Linked DNA regions of Mus musculus: all the other regions are reported to be linked to region 1. The links are microRNA targets in miRTarBase. Many come from high-throughput screens and were not tested one by one. Region 1 holds a microRNA gene; each other region holds the end of a gene's coding sequence.
Evidence for each region. The annotated mature microRNA mmu-miR-15a-5p reads UAGCAGCACAUAAUGGUUUGUG and lies in region 1 at 2,155-2,176, opposite strand. An mRNA with a match to its seed (bases 2 to 7 or 8) in the 3' UTR can be bound and repressed. Matches are read on the target gene's strand: a 7mer-m8 pairs with bases 2 to 8, a 7mer-A1 pairs with bases 2 to 7 and ends in A, and an 8mer does both.

Region 2: the mRNA of Chka is a reported target of mmu-miR-15a-5p. The part of its 3' UTR that is shown has no 7-base or 8-base seed match.
Region 3: the mRNA of Wasf3 is a reported target of mmu-miR-15a-5p. The part of its 3' UTR that is shown has no 7-base or 8-base seed match.

What each region holds. Positions count from the first base shown.
Region 1 is chr14:61,629,921-61,633,071 of GRCm38, forward strand. It overlaps Mir15a (microRNA 15a), which reads right to left and starts at 2,190; the gene lies at 2,107-2,190. Dleu2 (deleted in lymphocytic leukemia, 2) reads right to left here. Exons shown (of 7, transcript NR_028264.1): 4 at 2,517-2,563. Mir16-1 (microRNA 16-1) reads right to left here and starts at 2,052; the gene lies at 1,960-2,052.
Region 2 is chr19:3,893,166-3,896,165 of GRCm38, forward strand. Chka (choline kinase alpha) reads left to right here. Exons shown (of 12, transcript NM_001271496.1): 12 at 183-1,204. The coding sequence ends at 242. Tcirg1 (T cell, immune regulator 1, ATPase, H+ transporting, lysosomal V0 protein A3) reads right to left here. Exons shown (of 20, transcript NM_001136091.2): 20 at 2,885-3,000. The coding sequence ends at 2,949. Among named protein-coding and RNA genes, the nearest start is that of Tcirg1, 12 kb to the right of the region's middle.
Region 3 is chr5:146,470,070-146,473,069 of GRCm38, forward strand. It overlaps Wasf3 (WAS protein family, member 3), which reads left to right. Exons shown (of 10, transcript NM_145155.3): 10 at 151-1,056. The coding sequence ends at 308. Among named protein-coding and RNA genes, the nearest start is that of Gm6408, 10 kb to the right of the region's middle.

The sequences.
Region 1 (3,151 bases):
GCTCCAAAAACGGAGTCTATAGTTAATTAAATCAACTTGTTAAAACTTACTTAATTTTACCTTTAAATTAGAATTGAGTAGTGGTTCTTTTGAGGACAATTCCTTAAAAAATAACTGAAATACTTTTAGGATCTCCACAACACACGGTAGAATTAATTATGAACCTTTAATCTGAAAAGGTAAGAGACTCCTTGTAAAAAGTAATGACAGAGTTAGAGGACATTATTGTGAGATAATGTGTTTTCTTGAACATTTTAAAATAATGACGTAAAACATTTAAAATAAAGCACATGGGATAGTTAAAAGAACATTTCCGGGCTGGTGAGATGGCTCAGTGGGTAAGAGCACCCGACTGCTCTTCCGAAGGTCCGGAGTTCAATTCCCAGCAACCACATGGTGGCTCACAACCATCCGTAACGAGATCTGACTCCCTCTTCTAGAATGTCTGAAGACAGCTACAGTGTACTTACATATAATCAATAAATAAATCTTTAAAAAAAAAAAAAAAAAAAAAGAACATTTCCTTTGAAATAATTAAAATATTCTGAATATATTTATAAAATTAATGACTGTTAGCTTTAATCTGAAGTTAAATATTAAGGCACAGATGAGATGTCTTTCATACTTTTGACTTATAAAAATCTCCTGTTAAACATTTTAGTGAAAAATAAGAAAAACAGTAATTATTAAGTTAGAAGATATAGGATTTATACCCTAATATGTCATAGGTTGCAAATTAAATTTCAGATTGTTTCCTCAGTTAACCAATAAAAAGGTCAGCTATTCTAAGGATTCTTCTAAATTTAAGTTTAAAAATTCAACGTACACATTTTAGTGTTATTCTCCTTCATTTAAAATGAAATATTTAGGCACATTATACTCAAGATTATGTTATAATCTGTAGCATTTCAAACTTTATCTGTATCTAAAGAAAACTTCAAATCAAGAGAAAAGTATTTTTCTATTATAAGTAATAATATGAGTTTAAATTCATGTACAATTTGGTACTTCCTAAACTCTTTCAAATAAACTTTTATATGGAAATGCTGGAAAGAGAGCTCGAGCCTTGGTGGTACTGGGTATATTCTGTACCACTGTAGCTCTCAAGAAACTCTGGAAAGGTGTTCAAGACTTAAAAATACTTGTTATATTATTAGTCAGTGCTCCATCTGTGGATCCAACCAACCACACATTCAAAACATTTGGGTGGCCAGGCATTGGGGCCTACAGTTTTAAACAAAGAATTTGGGAGGCGGAGGCAAGAGGATCTCAGTGAGTTTCATGGCAGCCTGGTCTACATGGTGAGACCCAGGCTCAAAAGACCAAACCAAAAAACTTATTTCTTGGACAAAAACTGCATTAGTACTGAATTGTACAGTTTTTTTCTCATCATTAAGAGAATAACTTGAATAATACAACTATCCATGTTAACATCCCACTGCACTACACATTAAAAACAATGTAGAGATAAGTTTAAATAAGTATAAGGGAGGATATGCACTGGTCACGAGCAGACATTTTATACAGGAGATCCAAGCATTTACAAATCTGGGTATCTAGAAGTCCTATAATCAGTTCCTCACACAGAAGTCATTATGTTTTGTTTGTTTTTAAAAGACAGATCCTTACATAGGTCTTAGACTTGCTTTATGGCCAAGGATGATGTTAAGCCTCTAATTCTCTTTTTTCCACTTCCTCAGATCTAGGATTACAAGTGTACCTGGTATGCAGTGGTAAGGCTAAAACCCATGGCCTTGTGCATGCTAGCAAGAAGCACTTGGCCAACTGAGCTGCATTACCATCCCACAATTATATAGTATTTTAACAGACACAATATGTAGAGCGTTGTTACTAACATCATTACAGAATCATACCAAACATAAAATCACTAATGCAATTAGAAAAACCGTGTAAACACACAAGTAACATCAATACACATTGAATTACAGTTGTAGAGTATTGCCAACCTTACTTCAGCAGCACAGTCAATACTGGAGGTAATTTCAGAATCTTAACGCCAATATTTACGTGCTGCTAAGGCACCGCTGACATTGCTATCATAGGAGCTATGAATAAAAAGACAGGTACTCTCTTCAGAAGATCAGGTCCTTGTATTTTGAGGCAGCACAGTATGGCCTGCACCTTTTCAACATCCACAAACCATTATGTGCTGCTACTTTACTCCAAGGGTTGGTTTTGAAAACTCCTAGCACCTCAATAGTAATTTACAGAAAAGGCTTTTTAGGAAAAAGTAGAACACATAAAATCTATGTTTGAAAAAAATCTAACACTGGTATGTGCATAATTTTATAGGCTTTCAGCAGAATAAAAAGTATTTCCATATCATAAGTTTAATAAAAGCGTACAGAAAACTTAATACAGTGCTGTAATTTATTGTAGTCATGAAACGAGAAAAGCAAGTCATTTTCCCATACCAACTTAAGAACCTCATTTATTAAACTAACAACTTTTGAATGTGCTTAACACATGAAATAGCTACAAAAGTTGGTTTTTACCTTATTAAGAGCAGCACATCTTTCAAAGCCAAATCCATAGGACAAAGCTTCATGTTAAAGGAAACATGTAAGAACAAACATGTAAGAGCTCAGTTTCAAGAAATTTATACTAGCAAAATATTTAGAAGACATACACATGAAACATATTCCCCAAAAATATATAACCCCCAATCTACACATGAACACAAGATTTATCTCAATATTGGAATAGTTATTGTGAGTTCAGTGTCATTTATTATTACCCAGAACATCATCTTAGGATAACAGGTCTATTTGGTTTCCTAAAAGGATATATCAGAAATCCTGTAGCTCAAGCCTAAGTAACCATTTGTGTGTTTCCCAGTTAAAAAGGCTAGTCCTTTAAAGGAGTATCATTTTATACCACAGGACTTTGACTTAGCTGAAACAAAATTTTTACTACGTTAAGTTCCAACTTCATTTTATGTGTGTGTGAATATCTAGGTTTTCTTACACTATTAAGAAGACTCTTTTCTGTTTAGTGGGGGACTTAGCCATCCCTTCACAAAGAACTGTTCTTATTATTCCAGTTCATACCAGATTTTCCATTCAAACTAGATTACTGTGTAGCAAATGTTTTCTAGTGGGTCAATGCCATTTCTCCATTCCCGTTCATG
Region 2 (3,000 bases), not on the chromosome of region 1:
GCTATGTGGCATGAGTATGCCCTGACAAATGAAATGAAATTTTAAAAATCTGACATGACCGGATGATCAAAGATGGCATCAGAGACACAGGTGTGGGTTTTGCTGCCATGGTGGTCCACAGCAGCACAGACGGTCCGGTCAGCCTGGCTACATAGTGAAGTACTTTGTTCGGTCTCTTCCAGGAATATGCCCAAGCCAGATTCGAGGCCTACTTTGACCAGAAGAGGAAGCTTGGGGTGTGAATGGGGTGGCTCCATTCTTCACCACTGGACTGCGGGAGGCGGCTGCACCAGGCCCTCAGTGGAGCGCTGCTGTGACCACTGCCCTGGGCAGAAGGCCTGGATGTCTCACTACTGAGCACCGATGTGTATGATACTACAGACTATATTAAAGTGGAGTAACATTTCTTTCATCTTTGTTTACACTCTCACTAGGACTCTGAACCATGATTGGAAGCAGAAATATAGTACGATAGTGCAATAGCTCAGAACCCGCCTAAACTGAAGGCCTTTTGGCTGCATGGCTACAGCTTTCAGCCACTTACGGCCCCAGCTGGACAGAGCAGTGCTGTGTGGGTACTCCAAGTGCTGACTTAGGATATTAATGTGCTGCAACACATTTGTCACCAGGCTTTGAAGGTGACAGCCTGACAATGTGTTGGAGACACTTCTGAAGGGCAAGTGAACAGACATACTGTGAAGTGGCTCAACAGGAGGAGCCTGAGTTGTGGGGTCTATGGATGGCAACCAGCTGATTCTGTACAGGGTACACTTGACTGTGGGTATGCAGGTGGCAGCTGCAGCCCTCCTGTGCTTGTGTACGCATGACTGCATGGACCAGCACCACTGCCTGGCCATAACTTCAGTGTCTCCTAACTGGGTGTGCTTTATAGCTCCAGCTTCCTGGGAGGAGCAGTGGAGCCAGCTCCCTCACCCCTTCTTGCCTTCCCTCTGCCTGGCCTGGAACTCGGGCTTCTGCCCATTGCCCTCTGAAGCTGCTTCCCATCTGATGTCACTGGGAGACAGCAGCTGTCTGTGGGGTATTGGGGTGCAGGTAGATTAGAGCTGTGAAATCCATGTACATTAATACCCAATGGGATAAACTTAGATTTTTTTTTTACTCTGAACTCTGAATTGTTTGTGCACATATTTCTGCTACCACCAAGACTGTATTATACAGATAAATAAACAACTTGAAACCTGTTCTCAGACTGTTACCCTTCATATGTCAGTGCCCTGCTCTCTCCATCAGCACACACAAGCCATGTGACTAGTGCCAGGCTGGACATCCTCTTCACCACACCACACCACACCTCATTCAGAGCAACATCAAATTTTGTGCCCCGCTGATGTCCATGGCCCCAGGTTTGCCACCCTTCCTGACAGACCCTCACTCTGCTGCTCTGCCAAGGAGTCAGGCCCAGACAGCAGCTGCAGCTCTTCCTGTTGCTCTGACCAACCAAGCTTCAAGAATGCTGCACGCCAGCACAGTCTTACATGGCCTTTCTTCAAACTCCACTGACAGATAGGATGGAAGTGGTGGCCGTGGCTTGCTTGTTCTTGCCCTGTGCTTCACTCCAGCTGACTCTCAGCTGCCTAATGAAATAACAGGCATGATGAGCCCTCAGGCTTTTCTTATTTATTATTTTTATTTTTTTGAGACAGGGATTCTCTGTGTAGCCCTGGCTGTCCTGGAACTTACTCTGTATGACCCAGGCTGGCTTCGAACTCAGAAATCCACCTGCCTCTGCCTCGAGTGCTGGGATCAAAGGCTATTTTTATTATTTTTAATTATGTGGTAGGAAGAGGTACATACACATGAGTCCCAGAAGTCCAGGAGTAGGATGCCCTGGAACTGGAGTCGCAGGCAGCTGAGAACTGCCCAGTGAGTACTAGGAAGCAAACACAGGTCCTCTGCAAGAGCAAGCCAGGCTCTTACCTTCACTGAGCCATCTCTCCAGCCCAACTCCTGCTTCTCTACAACTACCCATTTGTGACAGTGCTTTTCCCAAATGACCTTTGTAGCCCTTACTCTACCTGCCTGCTCAAATGAGCAGAGGTCAGATCAATCACACCGGTTAAGTGGTGATAACTGCCAGGACAGTGCTTGCTGCTGTTAAGGCATGCTGTTCCCATGGCAACTGGAATAGCCAGCCTAGGAAGGCAAACTTCAGAGCTAGGGCTGGCCTGCTAATGTCCTGGGGATCCTCTACATTCGTCTGCCCAGCTATGTTATGTTCCTCTTAGCTTAGTCTGCCAAGCATGTGTAAGTGCCTTAAAGAGACTAGCATTCCCAGCCCTGTATTCAGAGAGCTTCAGCAGGACAGTCTACAACCCCCACCCCCAACCACCCCAGTAGCTTGGCCGGGGCCATTGTGGCTCACTATGCACAGAGCAGCTCTGGCCTCAAAGCAGCCTTTGTTGCTGGGGCCTTCAGCTGCAAGAACTACTTTGTAACTTGGAAAACTTGAGTCTCTGGCCTCTGACATGCACTGGCTATGTATGTGCCTCCCAGCCGGAGGGAATGAAAGAGGCAACTCCTACCTCAGCTAAACATGGAGGACCTTAAGGACTTCAGGGAATACAGGGCCAGTTTGCACACCTCGAAAAGTGGGAAGCTCACTCCTCCCACCTGGTTGGAATCCACTCCCACAAAACTAAACTGGTCCTTCTTGGCCTAGAGCTAACCCTCTGGTTCCCAAGAGTCTGGAGATGTGCTCATGGGGTATCCCAGCAGCATCTAAAGGCTTAGATGCTAAACCAGTGCCTCCTATCCTCTAACTCTGCTGAAGAATGGTCCAAATAGATGTCATATTCAGAGTCTAGAGCTCTGGCCACTGTAGTGTCAGCCTAACCCTGGTACCCCAGAGAGGACAGAGACAAAGTTCCTGGGCCAGCCAGCTCTTTATTCCTGTCCCACTTCGGAGAAGCAGGGATTGCAGTGGGTAGCTAGTCACTGTCCACAGTGAAGGTGAAGGGGCTGAGCTTGTAGCCGGTGCCT
Region 3 (3,000 bases), not on the chromosome of region 1:
ATAGCCTGAGTTTATATGTTTTCTCTGCCCTCCCTCCAATGTTCAGGGTCTTGTCTTTATAAACTCGTCTAGATAGGGCAACCTGTTTGGTGTCCTTCCCTGGGAGCCAGGAGACTGATCCCCCCACCCCACCCCGTCTCCTGTTTGCAGGAATCCAACTGAAAAAGGTGCAGGAGCAACGCGAGCAGGAAGCCAAGCGGGAGCCTGTCGGGAATGACGTGGCCACCATCTTGTCTAGACGCATTGCTGTGGAGTACAGCGACTCAGACGACGACTCTGAGTTTGATGAGAATGACTGGTCTGACTGAGGCACAAGGGCCAGGCGACCAGTGGACAGCCAGGGCCCCATATGCAAGTGTGTTAGGAGCTCCTGTGCTCTCTGCACCCTCACAGTGGTATTTCCCTGTAGCTTTAGTCCCTTTTGTATTAACAGTGTGATTTGCTTCTGCACATCCTTCTGGATTTGTTGAGTATTTACTGTGTAATACTTAAGTGCCACAGAACACAGCACACCGTGCTGCACACCAGGAAACTCGCAGTATTAGTGCATCACCCTGGAACAGCATCTTGCTTCCCTCTCAGCCGTGAGAGTCCCCTCTCCTGTCCATCCTGATTTGGTGGGCTTGCCACGTATCTGCGCAGCTGCCCCACGTCAGCTCTCTGCAAGATCACTGGCTGTGTGTCTCAGTGATGTCTTCCAACCAGTGGGTGATACGTTTTCCTGTTTCTTCCCTTTGCAAATTGAATTCCAGGTAGATATGGTTGTAGAGGGGAAAGTTTAACAAATCAGAATGAAATGTTTGTCTGTTTGCACACTGGGCCTGGTGGCCTCCAAGGAAATGTGTACGATCGTTTGCTTTCTCTATCTTGGCGCTTGCAACCGAGAGCGGCCATTTTTATGAGGGGAGCCCTGTGGGTACTCATGTGGAAAGTGCCCACTGACTTTGGCAGATGGAGTTCACTTTCATGGCTAGCCCTGATAGCGTTGGGCACCAGTTAGCCAGGCCATGTTCAAGCTGCCTAGAGTCTGCAGAGCTTGCATGGCAGAGCGGCCGCATCTGGTTCCCTCCTACTCCACCCAGTGGAAAAGAGACCTCCACGTTTTATTTTCTGGGATCCCTGCTCCTCTGTTCACCAGGGAGTGAGCACAGGTCAGCACCTCACCCCCCTTGCTCTGAATCATGGAAGCTTGGCTTTAGCTGAGAGATGCCACCAGCTGTTCACAACCCATGGTGCTGTGGCTAGATTCCTGCTCAGTCTCTCAAACAGGGCCACACCCCTCCTGAAGCACAGCTCTCTTCTCTCCTGTTGTCGGCACATTTTCAATTTTAAAAAGTACCTCACAAGATAAACTTGATTCAGCCAGTTGCCCGGGCAGAGACCTGACTTCCCCTCTCCTGCCCTGATCCTTTTTACCAAATGGCGATTCCATAGTCCTGGCTGAGGCAGGGGCTCAAAGTCCAGTGTCTGCTTTGCAATTCTGGAAGGACAGCTGCTTATTTAAATAAGTCTGTGATATCCGCAGGCTTGGGTTACAGGGAGGACCTTGCAGAGGGACCAGGACACTGCCTTCCCTTAGGTGCATTATTTACGTGGCCTGCAGCTCTTAATATCTCTCACTGTTTATGAAAAGAAAGATTCAGATCCGGGGTGACATTGTGTCAGTTGACAGGGAATGCCTGTGGGATAATTAAAAATGGTTTTTGCTCATGAGTTTGGGATGTCACCCAGCCGCCCACATCGCCTGCTATGTGTGTGGACGCCTGTCCGCTTGGCCAGCTATCCTGTAACACCTGCCAGTAGTAGGTTTTCCTCATGTCACTATGACAGTGAAAGCCCATGTGCAAGCCCCTCCCTACGCCCTGCTTTGGCGTGTGTCTGAGTGCTCTGTGCTGCGCCATGGCCATCCTGGAGCCTGCGCACACGTGGCCGCTGCTGTGACTCGCTGTCCTTGGTAATTGGTGAGAGGCTTTTTCTTTCTTTCTCAGTTCTGCTTTTCCACACTGAGACCCACCATGTTGACATCATCCTCGCGACGTTGACATTTGAGCCTTTTGTTCTGTCTCCCATGTGCCCTGTAGAACCCAGCACTCATGTTTGGCAAAACTTTTTTTGGTAAGGTCCTTATGCTCTCAGGGTGGAGGGAAGACATTAAAGCTACGCAGCCATTGTCAGGATTTTTTCTACTGATGTCACATCAGAATATAACTAGTGGCTCCTTACTCACAAATGTTCACGAGCTTCTCCGTTGTCACTTGTCCTGTAGTTTTGCCAACAAGTTAATTTTAGTTTGATTTTATAGCTAGAGAGAAAGCTTTTGCCCGTTGCATTCTGTAACCTTCAAAAGAATGAGAAACGACTAAAATCCAATTCAGATTATTTTTAGAGATTCTTTTTGGCAAATTTGATTTAGTCTAAAATTTAAATTCAAGTTGCTTGAATACTTTACAAAACGAGAACAAAGTAAAAAGTTTAGATTTTTGATTTCCACTTTTTTTTTAAAAAGTACTAAAACAAATGGAGAGCAGACATAGTAGCATATTTGACTTCTACACATTTCATGCTTATACTTAATCTACAGATCGCAAGGTTGTTTTATATTATCCCCTTATAGTGTTCCATGTGTATTGTAGCTGAGTTTCAGATACGGTATTTTCTCATAGTGTAAACTCAGGCAGATGAATAGCTGGAGAGTGGGTGGATGGATGGGTGAGTATATGGGTAGATAAATGGATGAGTGGATGGGTGGGTTAGGTGGGTAAGTAGCTAGGTGGATGGGTGGGTGGATACATGGATGAGTGGATGGGTGGATTGGTGGGTGAGTGGATAGGTGAATGGATGATAGGTGGTGGATGGTTGAGTGGGTGGATTCATGATGGATGGATGGATGGATGGATGGATGGATGGATGGATGAGTGGATGGATAATAGGTTGATGGGTGGATAGGTAGATGAGTGAATAGATAGATATAGATCAGTGGGAGGATTGGAAAGTAGGTGA